3 linked regions of the Stegostoma tigrinum genome follow. The protein of the gene in region 2 binds, or shares a complex with, the protein of the main gene of each other region. Links are inferred from orthologs where the notes say so. Each region holds a gene or a part of one and is shown on either strand. Other genes may lie near its edges.

The links.
Region 1: smc5 (region 2) and nsmce2 share a complex: the UniProt entries of both Homo sapiens proteins name them as parts of the SMC5-SMC6 complex. The link is inferred for Stegostoma tigrinum from reciprocal best matches to the Homo sapiens genes SMC5 and NSMCE2.
Region 3: smc5 (region 2) and nsmce4a share a complex: the UniProt entries of both Homo sapiens proteins name them as parts of the SMC5-SMC6 complex. The link is inferred for Stegostoma tigrinum from reciprocal best matches to the Homo sapiens genes SMC5 and NSMCE4A.

Annotation. Positions count from the first base shown.
Region 1 is NC_081358.1:47,632,011-47,638,947, forward strand, and holds the start of nsmce2 (E3 SUMO-protein ligase NSE2), read left to right. Parts: upstream 1-3,829; 5' UTR 3,830-3,940; intron 3,941-6,937. Other genes in the region: washc5 (WASH complex subunit 5), read left to right, coding at 8-64. UniProt on the Homo sapiens protein: E3 SUMO-protein ligase component of the SMC5-SMC6 complex, a complex involved in DNA double-strand break repair by homologous recombination. Is not be required for the stability of the complex.
Region 2 is NC_081356.1:28,652,951-28,660,936, reverse strand, and holds the start of smc5 (structural maintenance of chromosomes protein 5), read right to left. Parts: upstream 3,085-7,986; 5' UTR 3,024-3,084; coding exon 2,866-3,023; intron 2,532-2,865; exon of another isoform or gene 2,487-2,531; intron 1-2,486. UniProt on the Homo sapiens protein: Core component of the SMC5-SMC6 complex, a complex involved in repair of DNA double-strand breaks by homologous recombination.
Region 3 is NC_081373.1:27,619,469-27,626,862, forward strand, and holds the start of nsmce4a (non-structural maintenance of chromosomes element 4 homolog A), read right to left. Parts: upstream 3,013-7,394; 5' UTR 2,959-3,012; coding exon 2,697-2,958; intron 1-2,696. UniProt on the Homo sapiens protein: Component of the SMC5-SMC6 complex, a complex involved in DNA double-strand breaks by homologous recombination. The complex may promote sister chromatid homologous recombination by recruiting the SMC1-SMC3 cohesin complex to double-strand breaks.

The sequences.
Region 1 (6,937 bases), on a different chromosome or scaffold from region 2:
TTGCCAGGTTGTGGAAGCACATGTCCCTAGTTTCATCTTCGATGAGTTCAGAACAATTCTATAATGATGCCTGAGATGAAGAAAGTAGTCTGCCTCAATGTGAAGTGGTGTGCGTACTAATACCTGATAAATACTGGAATCCTTGGTTAATCTGAATATGCCTGTCTCAGCCAGAATGACACATGAAAACGGTGAATTCAGAATTTTGCTAAAAAAGTTGTGTGAATGCAAAGAAGAATTTACATTTTGCATTTGCAATAACATTGTAGCATCAATGCTGAACCCTTTTCTTCTCCAAACAAAATACAGCTCAGTTATGTATAATCTATATTTTGATTCAAATAAAAAAGTTTACTTGAACTATTGAGAAACAAAATTTTATGACTAATGTATTGCATTTTGAGTGAGCTGTAAATTAAGTAAAATTAATTGTTTAAGCCTTTGCAATTTGCATTTCTTTAAAAACTGGAACTTCAAGTTATATTGAATGGATTGCCTTTGGAAGGATAATGGTTGATCTTAAAATCAAAACATTTTTACATATGAAGGCAATTTTTGACTGTACAGCTGACCATTAAAAGTTCTTTCTGATCATGCTGTGTGGTATGCAACTTAATGGTTTTTCAAAGATGTTTTGTAGTGCAAGTTAAATGTTGTCCTATAATGTTCAGTCACTGGAATTTTACGGAGATCTTTGAGTAATATTCCTTTCTAATTTTCATCTTCGTAAACAGCAAAGTAGACAAAGATCACAATAATGCTGGAAAACAAATGGCAACCTTGAATCTAATCTTCAGGGTCACTCCATGATAAATCTAATGTTATTGAGATAGTTGTTTTAGTAACTCTCAGTATTTTTACAACCGACTATTGATTACAAACAGGTAACATTGTGATCTGGGGACACTTCTGAGGGAGAAGATTGCAGGTCATCCATACCATGAATTTGCTGCTTTTGATGTTTTGAGTAGGAACCAATACAGTTTCTTATTGAAGAATTTATTCCAAATTCAGTTTGAAAGTGAGAAATTGCTGTTCTGTATTTAAAAGATAAAGTAAATATTCAAAGAAAATCTTAAAGGATCTTCTACAAAGACTCGATGTTGTGCCGACCTGCAGACTGGTGCACTCCAAGGCCCAGGACTACGTGCTGAGGGACGCGCTAAAGCTTGGGGCAGCCGCAGCCAAGGCACGGTGGGGAAAGACCACCGTATGAAACCCCTCGTCCAGAATAGAAAAAAGGGTCCTATCTGGTAACTGGGCCCAGCTGGTGCCTTCCCCAACTGGTCAGGGGGCCAACTGGGACTATGCGGGGAGACGACTGACGGGATATTTTCTTTTCTTTGTTTTTCTTTGTTTTGTTCTTTTCCTTTAGTTGGTGTACGTACCCCCTGGGTAACCCAGAGCGGCTTGCATGACTGGGTAGGTGTATAAATGTTTTATTTTTTGTACATTCTATGAATAAAGTATATTTTTTCAAATAAAAAAAAGTGACGCAACATCTGAAAACTAACCTTCCAGCTCAGCAAGCAAACTCACATCCAGAAACTCAACCTGAGCTACAAATCTTCTCAAAACTCGCTATTCTAATTGTTAGCTCACTAAACCTTCTGGGAACTGCTTCCAAAGCATTACCATCCTTCTGCAAGCCCAGTGATTGTACTGTACAAGTACTCCAGGTATGGTCTTCTCATTGTTCTGTATAACTGAAACATAACCTCTCTTGCATACCATTCCCATTGCAATAAACCATAACGTTCTGCTCACTTGCTCTACTTGTGTACTTCTGTGATTCATGCTCTTATTTACCCAGGTTTCTCTATCTCTCAGAGCTCTGCAACTTCTCATCATTTAGATACTATACTTCCTTTCATTCATTCTGTCAAAATGGAAAATTTCACACTTTCCCACATTGTTTCATTTGCCAGGCTGTTATCCGTTCACTTAATCTATCTGTATTTGTCTTGTCTGCTCCTTATTTCCTCTTCATAGTCCATTTTCCTATATTTCTTTGTGTTGTTTGGAAATCTAGCTACCCTTCGATCCTTTGATTCAAATCTTTTATAAATTGCAAGGAGTTGAGGTCCCACCACTGATCCCTGTGGCATATCACTCGTGACATCTGCCAGCCTAAAAAAATTATCTATTTATTGCTACTCTCTGTGTCCTGCTTGCAAGCCAATCTTCTATCCATGCCAATATGTCACTCCTAACAACCTTTGACAGGGCATCTTATCAATGGCCATCCTGAAATCTATCCATCCACAGTTTTTGATAAGGTGCCACATAACAGGCTCCTCAGCAGAGTTGAAGCCCATGGAATAATAGGAGGAATGGCAGCATGGATGTGAGGTTTGCTGAGTGACTGTAAACAGTATAGTGGTGAATTGTATTTCAGACTGGGAGAAGGTGTATGTGGCTTTTCTCAGATGTCTATTCTGGGGCCTTTTTTTCTTAGTTTATGTTAATGGGCTAGATATTGATGTACAGGGCACAACGTCAATATTAGGGGGTGACACAAAACCTTTTAGGTATTGTGAGCTATGAGGAGAATAAAGTTCATGAGACATGGTCATTGGTGGAATGGGTGCAAATGAAATGAAATTCAGAGGAGTTTAAAATGTTAGGAAGAAGGGGAAGAGGAAACGTAAAATAATACGTACAAATTCTAAAGAAGCTGCAGTGACGGAGATGCTTAAATGTATACATTGTTGTTAGAGCCAGGGCATGTTGAGAAAGGGGTTAAAAGGGCAAATGGTATATTAGGCTTTATAAATAGAGAGGCAGGAGAACCTTAACCAAACATGAGTTTGGCCTCATCTGAAGTATTGTGTCTTGTTCTGGGTACTGTATTTTTAAGAATATAAGGCTTTATGTGGCGAACATGAAAGGCTCACAAAACTTGTACCTGGGCTGTTGCAGGAATAGATTGATGAAGCTGAGTTGCTCTTTTTGTGACAATGGTTGTGCAGTGGTTCAAGAGATGTGCCCATACGTGTGAAGAGTCTGGACACAACAGAACTGTTCCAATTGACTAAAGGATCCGATATCAATAGATACTGATCTAGGTGATAGATTAAAAAGTCAAGAGTTTTTATATGGTGAATGGTTAGGAGTGGGAGCTGGCAGGAATGTGGTAGGCTCAGTGCGGTTTTCCAAACACTTCATGATGCGATGAATGTGTCCTGAACAGAACTGTCCACACCCTAAATTGGCCCTTATTAATATTATTTTATTGAATTTTCATCACACAAATTGGACGGCACATAATCAGGTCATTCAGCACTCCCGCCCATTTTTGGGACAGGTTGGACTTAGCAAGTGTGCTCATGATTTGAGAAGAGCTTGTGCAGGAGTTTGGAGCAAATTACTGCAGATGCTGGAAACATAAGAATGCTACAGAGCACAGAGGGTCAGACAGTATCCATGGAGTGAAAGCAAGCTAATGTTTTGAGTCCAGGTGACTCTTCATCAAAGTTGACGTGAATTATGAAGGGAACATTATCAACACCCTGTCTCCCACCCCACTATTTTGCAGAAATGTTGTCCCGTCCACAGTTCACGTCAGCTCTGATGAAGGATCATTTAGACTCAAAACATTAGGTTACTGTCCGTCCTTGCAAGCTGCTTGAACCGCTGTAACTTCCAACATTTTGTTGTGGTGTTGCAGACATTTGCTGCCTTAATCCTAGTGGGCGACTCAAGCCACCGGCAACTGAAGCGAACAGCGACAATCAGAGGCATTCGCAACAACTGTTTCCGGGGGAAAGGAGGGATAGTTTGCAGTGGATACTGGGATTTGTAGTTTTCTATTTGGGGATCCTGGAAGTGGAAGAGTGGGGTGGCTGCAGACTACATGTCCCAGGGCGCCTTGTGCGACACCGTGTTGGCCATTTGAATCGCAGAGCGGCGGCGGCCAAGGGGAGGAAGGCCTAGATTGGTGTGTGGTTTGTGAGTTACATTTGTGTAATTTAACTTGTTTCAGCACATGCGAATTGCTGCTTTGTTTCGTATCCAGCGGCTAGCTGTTGTTCTGGAGTTTCAGCATTCAGGAGCCAAGTTAGTTCACAAACGCAAAACAAATATAATAACCAAACTGGGATAAACAAGCAGTACTAGGAGAGGGAGAGAAACGTTCAACTTGTCATCTTTATGGATTTGTAATCAATTCATGCTTATAAATTCATTCAATTCATGATCCTGTGTCCCTGCGTATAGATGGAGGAGAATTGTTTATTTTGGAAAGCGACCAAAATTAGTTGCTTGTTTATCAACATTTCACAAAGGTCTTTGAAAGGATGCTAAAGCCCTGCACTGAAGGTTCTGGAAATCAAACGTAGAAACAGATTCCTGGAAATCCTCAGCAGATCTGGCAGTTTCTGTGGAGATTGAAACAGGGTTAACCTTTCAGGTTGATATTCAGAGTTTAGATGTTTCCTTTTTGACTGCTGAGCATTTCTAGATTTTTTTTCTTCAAGGACTATTGAGTGGCGTCTATGGGGTAAAAAAAGTTCAGAAATTTCTTGGTTAAGCTGAGGATTACCGTTACTGCACACAATCAAACCACATAACCAATTTGGCTCTGTACTCATGGTTCTCCTACCTGAATCAAGTAGCCTAGTCTCACAGTCCCGTTTGTTTTATTTGCTCATGGCATATGAGAATGACAGGTAAGGCCACTATTTATTGCTCTTGTGAAGGAGGGGGTGAGCTGCTTTCTTGAACCCCCATATTTCATCTGGTGATGGTAGGAAGGGAGTTCTAGAATTTTTTTTTGACCAGTGGCAGTGAAGGAACTTGGGTTGAAAGTTAGAATAGCTTGTAGCTCTGAGGGAAACTTGCAGATCATATTGTCAGAGATAATGGGAACTGCAGATGCTGGAGATTCCAAGATAATAAAATGTGAGGCTGGATGAACACAGCAGGCCAAGCAGCATCTCAGGAGCACAAAAGCTGACGTTTCGGGCCTAGACCCTTCATCAGAGAGGGGGATGGGGGGAGGGAACTGGAATAAATAGGGAGAGAGGGGGAGGCGGACCGAAGATGGAGAGCAAAGAAGATAGGTGGAGAGGGTGTAGGTGGGGAGGTAGGGAGGGGATAGGTCAGTCCAGGGAAGACGGACAGGTCAAGGAGGTGGGATGAGGTTAGTAGGTAGCTGGGGGTGCGGCTGGGGGTGGGAGGAAGGGATGGGTGAGAGGAAGAACCGGTTAGGGAGGCAGAGACAGGTTGGACTGGTTTTGGGATGCAGTGGGTGGGGGGGAAGAGCTGGGCTGGTTGTGTGGTGCAGTGGGGGGAGGGGATGAACTGGGCTGGTTTAGGGATGCAGTGGGGGAAGGGGAGATTTTGAAACTGGTGAAGTCCACATTGATACCATATGGCTGCAGGGTTCCCAGGCGGAATATGAGTTGCTGTTCCTGCAACCTTCGGGTGGCATCATTGTGGCAGTGCAGGAGGCCCATGATGGACATGTCATCAAGAGAATGGGAGGGGGAGTGGAAATGGTTTGCGACTGGGAGGTGCAGTTGTTTGTTGCGAACTGAGCGGAGGTGTTCTGCAAAGCGGTCCCCAAGCCTCCGCTTGGTTTCCCCAATGTAGAGAAAGCCGCACCGGGTACAGTGGATGCAGTATACCACATTGGCAGATGTGCAGGTGAACCTCTGCTTAATGTGGAATGTCATCTTGGGGCCTGGGATGGGGGTGAGGGAGGAGGTGTGGGGACAAGTGTAGCATTTCCTGCGGTTGCAGGGGAAGGTGCCGGGTGTGGTGGGGTTGGAGGGCAGTGTGGAGCGAACAAGGGAGTCACGGAGAGAGTGGTCTCTCCGGAAAGCAGACAGGGGTGGGGATGGAAAAATGTCTTGGGTGGTGGGGTCGGATTGTAAATGGCGGAAGTGTCGGAGGATAATGCGTTGTATCCGGAGGTTGGTAGGGTGGTGTGTGAGAACGAGGGGGATCCTCTTGGGGCGGTTGTGGCGGGGGCGGGGTGTGAGGGATGTGTTGCGGGAAATGCGGGAGACGCGGTCAAGGGCGTTCTCAATCACCGTGGGGGGGAAGTTGCGGTCCTTAAAGAACTTGGACATCTGGGATGTGCGGGAGTGGAATGTCTTATCGTGGGAGCAGATGCGGCGGAGGCGGAGGAATTGGGAATAGGGGATGGAGTTTTTGCAGGAGGGTGGGTGGGAGGAGGTGTATTCTAGGTAGCTGTGGGAGTCGGTGGGCTTGAAATGGACATCAGTTACAAGCTGGTTGCCTGAGATGGAGACTGAGAGGTCCAGGAAGGTGAGGGATGTGCTGGAGATGGCCCAGGTGAACTGAAGGTTGGGGTGGAAGGTGTTGGTGAAGTGGATGAACTGTTCGAGCTCCTCTGGGGAGCAAGAGGCGGCGCCGATACAGTCATCAATGTACCGGAGGAAGAGGTGGGGTTTGGGGCCTGTGTAGGTGCGGAAGATCATATTGTCACTCGTCTGTTGGCTTGCTTTTTTCTTGCTGGTCAATGCTGTAGTTTTGAAAGGTACTGTTGAAGGAGCTTTGCTGAGTTTATTACAATACATAAAATAAACTTATAAACACTGCTGCCGCTGTGTCCTTGTGGTGGGGCTGTTGACTGTTTAACACTGTGGAAGAATTGCATTGCTTTATCCTCCATCATGTTGAACTGTACATGTAACTAGAGTTGTGTTCATTTGGCCAAGTGGAGACTCTTCCATTACACTCTTGACTTTACCTTAAACAGTAGCAGGCTTTGGAGAATCTGGAAGTGGATTATTCACATATGGTCAATGGTTAACCACCTGGATGTTAATGGAAATTTATTTGATCATAATACCACTGCATGCCAAAGGGAAATGATTAAGTTCTTTCTTGTTGGAGATGATCATTGGCTAGCATTTGTGTCATGAATCTGACTTGCTGCTTAGCCCAAGCATTCATTTGTTGTTCA
Region 2 (7,986 bases):
GAAGGCTCGTGTAAAACAATAACGGGTAACACAGACCAGTTTGGCCTAACCGTCTGCTTCTATGTTGCAAATTCTATGCAATTCTTTGGTCGATGCCACTCTCTTATCACAACCTGAACATCATTAAAACATACTCTATACAGCTGGGATCCCTCCCACTCAGTCTAGGAAACACAATCAGCGTATCAAACTCAAAACATTAATTGCACCTCCCAGTCGTAAACCATTTCCACTCCCCCTCCCATTCTCTAGATGACATGTCCATCATGGGCCTCCTGCAGTGCCACAATGATGCCACCCGAAGGTTGCAGGAACAGCAACTCATATTCTGCCTGGGAACCCTGCAGCCATATGGTATCAATGTGGACTTCACCAGTTTCAAAATCTCCCCTTCCCCAACTGCATCCCCCCACTGCACCACACAACCAGCCCAGCTCTTCCCCCCCCACCCACTGCATCCCAAAACCAGTCCAACCTGTCTCTGCCTCCCTAACCGGTTCTTCCTCTCACCCATCCCTTCCTCCCACCCCAAGCCGCACCCCCATCTACCTACTAACCTCATCCCACCTCCTTGACCTGTCCGTCTTCCCTGGACTGACCTATCCCCTCCCCACGTATACTCTCTCCACCTATCTTCTTTTCTCTCCGTCTGCGGTCCGCCTCCCCCTCTCTCCCTATTTATTCCAGTTCCCGCTCCCCATCCCCCTCTCTGATGAAGGGTCTAGGCCCGAAACGTCAGCTTTTGTGCTCCTGAGATGCTGCTTGGCCTGCTGTGTTCATCCAGCCTCACATTTTATTAATTTATTTCACTTTCTTGGCACTTTCAGCTGTGCTAAATTTCTACATCAAAAATATTCATATATTTAAATGAAATATCAATGTTTTTTCTTAAAAGCTGCTGTTAAATCATATTTGTTTCCTACAGAGATAGTAGGAACTGCCGATGCTGGAAAATCTGACATAACACGGTGTAGAGCTGGATGAACACAGCAGGCCAAGCAGCATCAGAGGAGTAGGAAAGTTGACGTTTCAGGTAAAGAAGAAGGGTCTCAACACGAATGTCAGTTTCTTTGTTTCCTACACGTTTTAATTTATATTCTAGATTTCCAGTATTCATTTTTTCTACATTGCCCATCACCTTTGTACAAAGTCTGACAGAAAGATACTCAGAACTCGGAAAGAGTTCAAAATTAGAATAAAGGAGCATTCCTCAAGATCTGTGTCCCTTCTTTATCATCCAAATTCTCTTCCCTTTATCATAGTACCTTTGGAATATAGTAATTTTCTTGTACTTCTTTCAATTTGGTGTTGTTAAGATCCTACATTGACTGCAGAAGACCAGCCAGTCATGTCCGTGCTTTCTCTCTGCAAGGGTGTTTCATCTACTGCTACTACTCATTTACCTCATTGGCCTTTAAACACTATTGATTATTGTATCCATTCCTCGAGACTGGGGAGCATAGATTGGTGATCGTTTGTGGAACACAGTAGTTTAGTCCACAACTATGACCAGTCACCATTCATTTCAATTCTCTGCCCAACTCTAAAACAAACTCTTACACTATTCTACTGAAATGCAAAAGAAATGCTAGGAAAGTTATTTATCTTTTAATTAAGCACTTTATAGCATTCCAGGTTCCACAACCAAATTCGACAATTTTAACTGATGGCACTGCTTTCAATTGATTTTGTTGGATAGCATCCCTTGGTAATAGTTCTGGTTCTGTCATTTGCACCTCCTCCAGACCTATCTTTTATTTCTTTTCTTGCTTATTATCATCTCACCTTTGTCATTTAATCACTCCAGCATATCAGACCTTCCCTTTCATTCTCTCTGCCTGTCCCCTTTCTTTACTTGTCCACCCACTTAAAACTTATTCCAATTATGAAATAAAATTCAGCCAAAAGCATATTTATGGTTCCCCTCAGATGATGACTGACTTATGCGCATCGACATTTATCACAAAGTCACAGTATTCACAGCCCTTGATATCAACACAAAAAGTGCTCTCCAGTTTGCCTAATCGAAGGTGAAGCCTGAGCCTGTCAATATCTAAGTTTTCCTTTGAATGAGTGGGATGGGTACAGAAAACAGGAGACACGATCAATCTCTCCGGGATTAATGTGACTCTGAAAGGAACCATCTGGCCACTTTTGTGGTTTTGTAATCTGATCGCGGAACCAGGTTGCGAATAGGGTCCAATGCAGTGAACGTGAACGCAACAGCAAGCTTTTGAAATTAAAAGACTCGGAGGCACTTCTTCAGACTGCGATGCAGCGAGGGAGTGCCTTTTCATGACAATTCAAACGCTCGGAGACACATTTCAGGGGAAGCGAAATAGAGGGATGAAGAAAGCTTTCAGAAGGCTCTTGTAAAACCATAAACGCTAATACGGACTAGTCTGGGCTAACGGTCTGCTTCAGTGCTGCAAATTCCTTGGGCGATGCCACTCTCATATCTCAACCAAATATCATTAATAGCACACCTTATACGGCTGAGATCCCTCCCACTCAGCCCAGGAAACAGAATCAGCCGAAGTTTATTTGTAAAATTCTACTTCCAGGGTGAGTCCCTATGCGGGCAGGGCCCGGAGGCAGTCAGGGGTTAGGAAACGACTGAACTTCTCAGACGGGACATTCGCGACCAACCCGAGAGACATCACTCAGTTAAAGGGACCTGATCCTCACCCACCAGAGCCCTGATTCTGAAAAGAACAGAAATCGGCGACTGTGGCCTGGCCTGATCGCTGAGGAAGACTCTGCTTTTGGGGTCGGATATAAAACGGGGACTCCATCGACCCGGCCCCCAGGCCGAAGGCCCAGAAGCCTCGGTCTGTCCCTCACCGCTACCGCCGCTTGACTCACAGGAAATTGTCCATCTTGATCCTGACGATCGATCCTTCCACGAACTGGTTGCCGGCCCTATCTTCCCCAGTTGCCTCCGGTGGGACGTGCCGGCCGCTCAGCCCTCTTTTTCCGCTCGTCTCCCCCTGCCCGGCCAGTTTACGCTTCAGCGCCGCCATCTTGACGGTCGCCGGGCTCTTTTCCCGCGCAAACCTCCGGGCTCACGTCATCACGCCGACGTCGCTTCACCCCGACTCGTGACGCGCGTTGGTTTGGTGGGTTGCGGTCGGGGAGAGAGGGCGCGTGACTGCGGAGTTCGAGGCCCGCCCGTCCCTCTTTGGCGGGATCGTGCAAACGTCACAAAGCAGGCGGTGCGGACGCTACAGGACAGTCGCTCAGCTGTAGCAAAGTCGCAGTTTTTGGAGCTTTGTCAAATCAACCTGTTCTGAGATGTTATATAGATGGAATTTGAACGTAGGCTACCTGGTTCAAGGGTAGGGATATTGCCACAAGCCCCCTCCCTGCAATCGTAGTTTTGGCTACTGATGGCGCCAATAGACGGAAACAGGTGTCAAGTAGTTGGCAATACACATAATATAGTTGTGGGGTGGCCAGGGATGAGAACTGAATGTACAGGGGTATTCAGTATTTAGGAAGGACAGACAAAGAGGAAAAGGAGTAGGGTTAAACAGGACGTTAACGCAATAGTGAAGGAGGATACTTACACCTGTCACAAAAACAAAGTTGCTGGAGAAGCTCAGTAGATCTGGCAGCATCTGTGCAGGGAAAAAAAATAGTGTTTCGAGTCCGGTGACCCATTCTCAGTTGTCAATTTTTTTTCCTTCTGTTAACTTTTTTTTCTTTTACAGATGCTGCCAGACCTGCTGAGCTTTTCCAGCGACTTTGTTCCTGATTTACAGCATCTGCAATTCTTTTGGTTTTTACTTACACCTGTCAAGTAGAATCTGTGTGGTTACAACTTAGAAACACCAAGGGTAAGCAAGATAGTGTTGTAAATAGACTCACTTCCCTAACTGGAATGCTAACATTGGGGAAGGCACTTTACAAGAAATTAGTGACCCAGGCAGTAAAGGAACAGACATAATTATGGGTGACTTTAATCTGCATATTGATACAGTAAATCAAGTGGGTAATAATGCTGTAGAAGAGGAATTCTTGGGAGTGTGAGATTTCTGGATCAATGCTTTGAGGAACTACTTAAAGAACAGGCTATCCTAGACTGTCTGCTTCGTAATGAGAGAAATAATTTGAAGTCGAGCTGTACAAGGTCCCCTTAAAAAGGGGTGACCACGATATGATAGAATTATTTGTTTAGATGGAAATGACATAGTTGACCCTGAGACTAGGATTCTGAATCTAAAGAAAGGAAATTGTGGTAGTGTGAGGTAAGAGCTGTCTGTGATAAACTGGGGAAAGTTACTCAAAGGATGACAGTAAATGGCAAACTTTTAAAGAGTGCCAAGACAGGAAGAACTGCAACAATTGTTCATCTGTGAGGGGCACAAAAACAAAACAGGAAAGGTGGCCTGATCGTGGCTAACAAATGAGGGATAGTATTAGATCCAAGAAAGGGGCATACAAATTAGCCCAAAAAAAGTGGCAGATCTGAGGAACAGTTTAGATTTCAACAAAGCAGGACATAGTGATTTATTAACAAGGGGAAAATGCAGTAAGTTTGTGGAGAATATACAAATTGATCAGAAAAACCTTTATAGCATTATGAAGTGAAAGAGATTAGTGATTATATATGTGAATTCCTTAGAGTCAGGAACAGTGGGGGATGTTATAATGGGGAACGAAGATGGCAGATGAATTAAGTGTATATTTTTTGTATTATCTTCACAAAAGAAGATACAAATAATGATCCAAAAATGCTGGGGAATACAGAGTTTAGTGAGAGGGAGGAACTCAAGTAGTTGTAGGGAAATAGTTTTGCAGCAATTGATGTGATTCAAGACCAATCAGTCCCAAGTACTGATAATCTATGTCCCAGAGTATTGAAGAAGTGGTCCTAGAAATAGTGGATACACTGATGGCCATTTTTTTAAATCCAAAAGCTCTGGAACAGTTTCTATAGATTGGGAGGTAACTAATGTAATGTCACTATTTTTTAAAAAATGATGCAGAGAAAAGTGGAAATTAGAGACTGGTTAGTCTCACATTGGTACTGGGAACAAACAAAGAACAATACAGCACATGGAGAGGCCCTTCAGCCCTCGAAGCCTGTGCTGACACATCTTGTCCTTCCATACTAAAACTGTCTTCAATTACAAGATCTGTATCCCTCTATTCCCTTCATATTCATCTATTTGTCCAGGTGCTTCTTGAACGCTGCTATTGTGTCTGCTTCCACCACCTCTGGCAATGTATTCCGGACACTCACCGCCCCCTGTGTGAAAAACATGCATCATACATCTGTTTTAAACTTCATCCTCTCTCCACCCCCACCCCAGCACCCTGAACCGGTGGCCCCAAGTAATTGATCTCTCCACCCTTGTGCTTTCCAGTCTATCCAGGCCATTCACAATCTACTAAACATCTATTAGGCCACCCCTCAACCTCCTACGTTCTAGTGAAAACAGACCCAGTCTAGCCACCCATCCTTCTGGTAGTATGCTGACCAGAACTATATGCAGTATTCCAAGTGTCGCCTAACTAAACTTCTGTAGAGCTGCAGCATCTATCCTCACGGGTAATACCCCTTTCAATGAAGGTTCATATGCTGTAGGCCTTTTTTACTACCTCATCGAACTGCGCTGCCACCTTCAGTGATCGGTAGACCTGCACATCTAGATCCCTCTGCATATCAATATTCCTAAGGGTTCTGCCATTCAGTGCATAATTTCCACCTGTACTTGACCTTCCAAAATGCATCACCTCATGTGTCCACGTTAAACTCCATTTGCCATTTTTGTGCCCATGCCTTGTATCCTCTGACAATTCTCATTATTCGCAACTCTACCAATCTTTGTATTTCCACAGCTTACTAATTAGACCAGCTACATTTTCTTCAAAATCATTTACGTAGACCATGAACAGCAGAGGTCCCAGCACTGATCCCTATGGAACCCCACATCTCTCAGCCCTCCATTCCGAAAAGCATCCTTCCACCACTACCTTCTGTCTCCTGTAACTAAGGCAGTTCTGTATCCAACTTGCCAGCTCACCTTTGATTCCATATGACTTCACCTTTTGTACCAGTCTACCATGAGGGATCTTGACAAAGGCTTCACTGAAGTCCACATGGACAACATCAATTGCTTTTCCCTCATCAAAGTCTTCATCATTTCTTCATAAAACTCCATGACCTCCCCTGGACAAAACCATGCTGTCTATCACTATTAAGTCCATTTTCGTCTAAATGCGAATAGATTTTGTACCTGAGTTTCCTTACTATCAATGTGAGGTTCACAGGCCTGTAATTTCCTGGATCAACCCTGCTACCCTTCTTAAACAATGGGACAATATTCCCCAGTATCCTCTGGGGCCGTACCTGTGGCCAAAGAGGATACAAAGGTGTCTGTCAAAGCTCCAGCAATTTGTTCTCTTACCTCCCTTAATATTCTGGGAAAGATACCATCAGGATTCAAAGACCTATCTACTTTAATACTTTTTAAGATGCACAACACCTGTTCCTTTTTATTAGCAACTTGGCTTAGCAATTCCACACTCCCTTCCCTGACATCATTCTCCACCAATTCCTTCTCTGGCTGTAGATGTAGATTTCTTCCTTTGTCCTTGAGTGAGCTAACCCTTTCCCTGGCTACCCTCTCACTTTGTGTGTGTGTGTGTGTGTGTGTGTGTGTGTGTGTGTATATAAAAGCCTTGGGATTCTCCTTAATCCTGTTTGTTAATGACTTCTCATGACCCCTTTAAGCCCTTCTAATCGTTTTTTAAGTTCTTTCCTATTTTCCTTGCATACTTAAAGGGCTTCATGAGTTCCTATCCTCCTAGACCTTACATATGCTTCCTTTTTCTTTTCAACCAAGGTCATAACTTCTCTCATCATCCAAAGTTCACATTACTTGCCATACTTACCTTTCATTCTCGCAAGAATGAGCCATTTGAAAGAGTCCCACATGTCCGATGTGGATTTACCCTCTAACAGCCACCTCCAAGAGAAAGTTTCCAGTTCCTACCTAATATTGTTGTATAGTCTTACCTCAGTTTAGAACTTCACCAACAACTGCTGTACTCCCCCACTAAATGTTCAGTCACCTGACCAGGCTCGTTTCCCAAAACCAGGTCCAGAAAACTCCTTCAGAGATAGTAAGAACTGCCAGTGCTGGAGTCAGAGATAACACAGTGTGGACCTGGAGGAACGCAGCAGGCCAGGCAGTATCAGAGGAGCAGGAAAGCTGATGTTTCAGGTCAGGATCCTTCTTCAGACAACTCCTTCCCTGGTTGGACAGTTTACATACTATGTCAAGAAACCCTCCTGAAGGGTCTTTACAAATTCTGTCTGTCCAAGCCATTAGCACCAAGTGAGTCCCAGTCCATATACAGGAAGCTAAAATTGCCCACCGCAACAAGGCTGCTGTTTCCTGTTTCTGGGAAAATGCTAGAAGGCATTATGAGAAATTTATGGAAGAGTACTTGGGGAAAAAAATAATGACAGGATTTGACAGAGTCACTGTAGATTTACTGAAGGGAAATCATTCTTGACAAAACTACTGAAATTTTCCACAGATGCAACTGGTAGATTTGATAAGTGGTACTGGTGGATGTGGTTTACTTGGAATTTCAGAAAGCTATTGATATCCTCTTATGTCAGAGATTAACATGTAAAATAAACGTGCAAAGGGTTGAGGGTAGTGCCGTTACCTCAGTGTCACTAGGTCAAAATCCTGGAACTCTCTTTCTAATAGCACAATGGATGTTCCTATGCTGCATGGACTGCACTAGTTGAAGAAAGCAACTCAAACCACCTTCTCTAGGACAATTAGGGGTGGATAATAAATATCAACTTGCTGTGAAGCCACATTCTATGAACAAATTAAGAAAATATAAGAAAAATCATGACTGAAAAGTATCAGAAAAGTGATATCTATGTTTTGTGTTACTTGCAAGGCCAATACAATTAAAGTAGAAAATGGAAAACCTGTTGGCAACTGTTGTTTC
Region 3 (7,394 bases), on a different chromosome or scaffold from region 2:
CAGGAATAGTGCCAGACGACTGGAGGATAGCAAATGTGGTTCCCCTGTTCAAGAAGGGGAGTAAAGACAACCCTGGTAATTATAGACCAGTGAGCCTTACCTCAGTTGTTGGTAAAGTGTTGGAAAAGGTTATAAGGGATAGGATTTATAATAATCTAGAAAAGAATAAATTGATTAGGGATAGTCAGCACGGTTTTGTGAAGGGAAGGTCGTGCCTCACAAACTTTATTGAGTTCTTTGAGAAGGTGACCAAACAGGTAGATGAGAGTAAACCGGTTGATGTGGTGTATATGGATTTCAGCAAGGCGTTCGATAAGGTTCCCCACAGTAGGCTATTGTACAAAATGCGGAGGAATGGAATTTTGGGAGATACAGCAATTTGGATTGGAAATTGGCTTGCTAAAAGAAGACAGAGGGTGGTGGTTGATGGGAAATGTTCATCCTGGAGACCAGTTACTAGTGGTGTACTGCAAGGGTTGGTGTAGGGTCCACTGCCGTTTGTCATTTTATAAATGACCTGGATGAGGGCGTAGAAGGATGGGTTAGTAAATTTGCAGACGACACTAAGGTTGGTGGAGTTGTGGATAGTGACGAAGGATGCTGTAGGTTGCAGAGAGACATAGATAAGCTGCAGAGCTGGGCTGAGAGGTGGCAAATGGAGCTTAATGCAGACAAGTGTGAGGTGATGCACTTTGGTAGGAGTAACCAGAAGGCAAAGTACAGGGCTAATGGTAAGATTCTTAGTAGTGTAGATGAGCAGAGAGATCTCGGTGTCCATGTACACAGATCCTTGAAAGTTGCCACCCAGGTTGACAAGGCTGTTAAGAAGGCATACAGTGTTTTAGCTTTTATTAATAGAGGGATCGAGTTCCAGAACCAAGGGGTTATCATTAAGCTGTACAAAACTCTGGTGCGGCCACACTTGGAGTATTGTATACAGTTCTGGTCACCGCATTATAAGAAGGATGTGGAAGCTTTGGAAAGGGTGCAAAGGAGATTTACTAGGATGTTGCCTGGTATGGAGGGAAGATCTTACGAAATAAGTCTGAGGGACGTGAGGCTGTTTTCGTTGGAGAGAAGAAGGTTGAGGGGTGACTTAATAGAAACATATAAAATAATCAGAGGGTTAGATAGGGTGGATAGGGAGAGCCTTTTTCCTAGGATGGTGACGGAGAGCACGAGGGGGCATAGCTTTAAATTGAGGGGTGAAAGATATAGGACAGATGTCAGAGATGGTTTCTTCACTCAGAGTAGTGAGGCAACGAAACGCTTTGCCTGTAACGGTAGTAGATTCGCCAACTTTAGGTACATTTAAGTCGTCATTGGATAAGCATATGGACGTACATGGAATAGTGTAGTTTAGATGAGCTTGAGATCGGTATGACAGGTCAGCACAACGAGGGCCAAAGGGCCTGTACTGTACTGTAATGTTCTATGTAAACAGGACAATTCCAGATTCTACTAACATTAGATGAAGTCCTGGAAAGAAATTGTTCACACCACCTTTATTTCACACAAACCAAATTGGTACACACTAGAGATAATGGGAACTGCAGATGCCAGAGAATCCAAGATAACAAAGTGTGCAGCTGGATGAACACAGCAGGCCAAGCAGCATCTCAGGAGCACAAAAGCTGACGTTTTGGGCCTTGACCCTTCATCAGAGGGGGGGGATGGGGAGAGGGTTCTGAAATAAATAGGGAGAGAGGGGGAGGTGGACCGAAGATGGATAGAGAAGATAGGTAGAGAGGAGAGTATAGGTGGGGAGGTGATAGGTCAGTCTACGGAGGACGGACATTTCAAGGCGGTGGGATGAGGTTGGCAGGTGGGAGAAGGAGATAGGAGAGGGGAAGAACAGGTTAGGGAGGCAGGAACGAGCTGGGCTGGTTTTGTGATGCAGTGGGGGGAGGGGACGAGCTGGGCTGGACTTCACAAGCTTCAAAATCTCCCCCTCCCCCACTGCATCCCAAAACCAGCCTCCCTAACCTGTTCTTCCTCTCACCTACCAACCTCATTCCGCTTCCTTGGACTAACCTATCCCCTTTCCATCTATCTTCTCCTCTATCCATCTTCAGTCTGCCTCCCCCTCTCTCCCTATTTATTCCAGAACCCTCTCCCCATCCCCTTCTCTGATGAAGGGTCTAGGCCCAAAACGTCAGCTTTTGTGCTCCGGAGATGTTGCATGGCCTGCTGTGTTCATCCAGCTCCACACTAGGACAGCCGGTAAGCAACTGAACTGGTAAAGTGGAGCAATCTGACTGGCTTTCAGAATCACATTCTGCGACGACACGTTTTCTCATGAAAGCCACAAAGCAGCAACTTCGGATATTTTGAAATATCAACTTGTTCAGGCATTTTATTCCACACCTCTGGAGATGAGAACTAAACTTAAATCTCCCGCTCGAAAGTAGTCTTATTGTTCAAGTCTAACCGAGTGGAAGTTATTGATAAACCATATTTATAAAGGGCAAGCCTGCTCAAAAAAAAGGGAAAGCCTGTTCACAAATAATATAGACGCAGGTTACTCGGTATCAAACTGGCCCGTGGTATTGATACAAGACAAGAGATTCTATTGTTATTTAATTTTACGTTTCCTATTGGAGTTCACAAGGGGAGAACGGAAGACCCAGAGTGTCCTGATGAGAGCGAGAAGAGGTTACAATCTGAACTGGGTGTCCCCGTGCCTGCTCACTCACGCTGGACGCTGTTGATAAGTTCCCGGTACTGGTGCCTCAGCATCCTCCGGCGATTCGGGTCATCATCCCGGGCCCCATACGGGATGGCGCCATCGACCAGCTCCTCGTCCTCGGTCACGGTGCAGTCCGAGACGGCTGAGTTTCTCCTGCCGCGCTGCGGAGCTCCCGCTCCGGCCATGGTGCCGTTGGAGGTGCCCGCAGCGGAGCGCTGCGATCCCCCGGGGGGATAAGGGGATCGGCCTCGACCTTTGCCCTCCGACATTGTTTCTCCACCCCGCCAGTACAAAGCCAAACCAGCGCCTTTCCAGCACGTCACCTCCACATGCGCCGGAAGTCAAAGCCACCGACTCTTAATTTGTAGTTGAACATGTTTCCCAGGTTTGCGTCATCAGTGAAGGACGAAAGGTGTTATTGCTTCAGATTTTAATTTTTATTAAATAAAAGTTCTGTATAGGGCCTCCTTGACCTGTTCGTCTCCTCTCAGCCTATCTTGTCCTTGATCCACCTTCTATCCGCCTCCCCCTCTCTCCCTATTTATTTCAGAATCCCCCCTCCCCCCGGGTTTCTGAAGAAGGGTCCTGACCCGAAATGTCAGCCTTTCTGCTTGGCCTGTTGTGTTCATCCAGCTTGTTATCTCATCCTACATAAAAGCATTACCCTATATAGAAGTGAGGGAAAAGAACCAAAACAAATTACTGGAGAAACTCAGCAGAATCTATTGGTGTGAGGCTGGAAAAGCACAGGAGGTCAGTCAGCATCAGAGGAGCAAAAAAGTCAACCTTTTGGGCTGAAACCCTTCAATAGTACTAGGTACACTAACGTTGATGTATCCTACTTTGATACTGTCTGACCTGCTGTGCTTTTCCAGTCTCACACCGACAGGTGCAGGCTTCTATTATCTACAGTCTTTATTTCTCTGGAGAAACTTTACAGGTCTGATAGCATCAGTGGAAAGAAAGCAAAGTTAACGTTTGAAGTCTAATGACCCTTCTTCAGAACCGATAGCTTGGAAAAGGTGGCATTTAAGCTCATCACAGGGTGGGGCACAAAGGAGTGAGCAATTAGATCAAGATAACAAAGTGTGGAGCTGGATGAACACAGCAGACCAAGCAGCATCTTAGGGGCACAAGAGTTGAAGTCAGGTTCCAGTCAGTCCTGTAGATCTGGTGCAAACAGTTTTGAAAGTCACAGTAAATCACTCGGGAAGCTGCACAGATTTCAGCCAAGGTTACAATCAGTTGTCAGAAGGGCTGACCATCCAGGTCTGTCAAGGGGTGGGGCACAAAGAGTGACAGTCCTAGAGCCCGTCCATTAAAAGGCAAAGAAGGCTTTACCAGGAGCTGGTGGTGAAACTGGGGAACTCAATTGTGATATTTTCAGGCAGAATGATGGGATGTGCAATGGAGCAGGAAATTCAATATAAAGGGGAGAGATGCTAGAGGTTAGGAGGGAATGAGATAATCAACAATCAGCATGACAAGTAGAGGGGAGGTGATGATCTAATTGCATTACCACTAGACTACTATTCCAGAGACCCAGATAATGTCTTGAGTACCTGGAATTCTAGCCATCATGGTAGAACTTGAATTTAACTAAAATATAATGTTGACAATGAAACTGTTGCCAACTGTTGGAAAAACCCATCTGGTTCACTATGCCTTTGAGGGAATGAAATCTGCCATCCTTACCTGGTCTGGCCTACATGTGACTCTAGACCCACAACAATGTGGTTGACTCTTAACTGCCCTCTGGGCAATTAGCCATGGGCAATAAATACTGGTCTGGCTAGTGACTTCCACATCCCATGAATGAATTTTAAAAAAACACCAATCTGGCTTTAATGGGGAGACAGTTCATTGCTATGTCTGGCATGATGGATGCAGTATGCTTAGGGTTCAGACAGTAATATGGGGAGAAATTGACAGTTTGGTTTAAAGAAGCAGTTTAGTATCCCTGGAGCTAGATTTACTCTCTTTTTTGAGTCACTTGTTTTAATAGAGTTTTAAAATAAAAATTAGCAACCTGCAATTCATCATGCCACAAATTCCTGTCCAGTTTCCCTTTCATGAGTACACTCATACCTCGAGCAGTGCTGAATGTTTACAAAAGAAAGTCATCTATGCGTTGAAATAAAATCCAGGATTAGAGCCTGTTCATTTTAACCTGATGACACATGATACCAGACAAGGCTAGCCTCACTTTAAACTACATCATAACAATATTGCCCAATACGATCTTGGTGCATAAGATTCTTGTGCAGCCACAGTTAGCTTCAGCTACAGTGGCCTGACATTAAACAATGATTGAAGACTTATAGAGGAGATACATGCTGCGCTCAACTGCACAAATGATGTGAAAATAAAGGTAAATAGTTCGTGAAGATATCAGAATACTAAGGTTTGAAGTTGAACTGATCTGTACATTACTCTGTTAGTTTAGTTTGGCATTTAGTATGGAGCTGCTTTTGGCTGAGAGCAAGTGCACTGTTGACTAAGCAGTCTCCAACTTAACTGTTTCTACTGTTATTAGTTACATATGTCATGAGAATCCAGTTTAGTTTGTATTTTAATCCATTTTTGTTTGTTCTGACTGTTCAAGTCTTTAACATTTGTGTATTAGATGTCTAATGCTGTGACATAATTTTTGAGCATGGCAATGAAAACTAGTTAATAGGCCATGACTGAAACATTTTTAAAGTTAAAAGCTGTGGGTAAGTGAAGGGTAGATCTTTTTCATACAAAGTTTAATTTAGAGCTTCTTCTTTTGGGCCTTATTGTATAGAATATAGGCTTGAAATCCTTCCAACATAGAGCGACAGCAGCAATCAGTCTATAAATACTGGAGTTGAGAAAAGTATGGGTCTTTTTCAGCAAAAATATGAAGGCAAATTTTTAAGGGCCAATTATGCCCGTCAATGGAATGCTATGTTCCTCCTGTTGAATGTAGGAGACGAGCAAACAGTTGACCATCTATGGAGACTATGTTTTCGGGAGGCGTGCTTGGATCTGTCTTCTACCAGACCATTTGGAATGGCTGGAAAGGCTGTTTGAGTCACTGAGGAGCATGCAAGAGACACAGGGTGTGATGGTCAGTAGATTTAGAGAGGTGGTCACACAGCAGGTTCAGTCAGATAGATGTGTGACTGTCAAGAGAGGTTGGAGGGTACTGCAGGAGTCTCCTGTGGCTGTTAGTGCTGGGATGCTGGAGTCTGCTTAATAATAGATATACTGGATACTACAAGACATAACAGGCCATTCTAAAAATTACTCATACATATTCAAATGTTTGCTTTTTCGAGTTAACTTTCTTCCTTCAATATGATACCTGGTATCAATCCGTTTTGAAGGACTTCATGATTTTTTTTATTATACTTGACTGCAAACTTAACATTGAAAGATCAGTTACCATTAAAATAAAAAAGCCAGACTGATAAGTTAAAATATTAACCGATAACAGTTTAGTTAATTGAGAGTGAACTTATGTTCACTTCGTGATATCACAGAAGAATCTGTACAGCAGTTGTTGAATATGTTGCACACAAAAACAATCACATAACCAGCGTAGCAGAGATGTGAAAAAGTAACATGTATCCTTAGGAGGGACACAAATATCATTTAGTATTTCAGTATTCTATGTATTAATGTTCAAATTCCAGTTTCATGTTAATATATTTTTTAATCAAGTTACAGTTTAAAAGTAAATCTTTATTCTAGTTATATTGATGGTTTTCTGTGAAGTAAACGGTTTTGAAATAGTTGTTCTGGTAGGAATTATAACAGAAATATGCATAGAGAGTCAAAACTAAATGACTGATTATAGATGTCATTTGTCACGTTATACAAGTGTGCTTTCTCTGAGTCACTAACACAGTAGAAAGTTCAATAGTCACTGTCATTGTCTTAACTGGATTTCCATTCTGATAAATACAGCAGTATTGCTTGCTGAACACGTTTTGAGTTGCTGGTGTTTCATAAAATGTTTATCTTGTTTCATTGTTTTTCCCAAAATAAGTTAATCTAATGCCTGTGAGCACGCTGCATTTTGTGCAGCATAAAATGTTGTTCCCTATGAAATGTGGTATTTGTGCAATTCTGTCTGGATAAATGCATGACAAGTTCCTTTTTAAGCAGCTCTTAAGTTCTGCACAATTAAGCAACTATTATTTTCCTGGATCTACTGGCTACTTAGATTTTATTTCAAAAACATTCCTTACAATACAAGTTACAGAATGCATGGATATGTCAGTGTGGAAGGAAAACTCAAAATCAGAAAAACAAACAGAGGTAAATCTGCTTGATAATTTACCCTTCCAAAAGGAATTTTAGGCGTTTAAGTCATCACCCAATTTTACAAGGCATTGATACCTTAGGGATGATTTACAGTAAAATGACTCTGGACTTAAGGCTTTGAGTTACAAAAGGAGATTTTATTGAAAATTTTAATGGAGAAAAATTAGATTGAGAGGACAAGATCAGACCTTGGGAGGTGTAAGTAACAATGACATAAACCATATGTAATGACAATGAGGTGTTATAAAGTGGAAGTGACTCCACCCCCACCTCAAGGACTGAAAGCAAAACACCCAAAGAGGAGCACCTCGCCCTATAATCTGTAAAAAGATTGTGAAAAGTGGTCTAACCTGCCTTTCAGCAACTTCTAGTGGTTAAATAAAATAAACCCCTGACATTCACATTACAA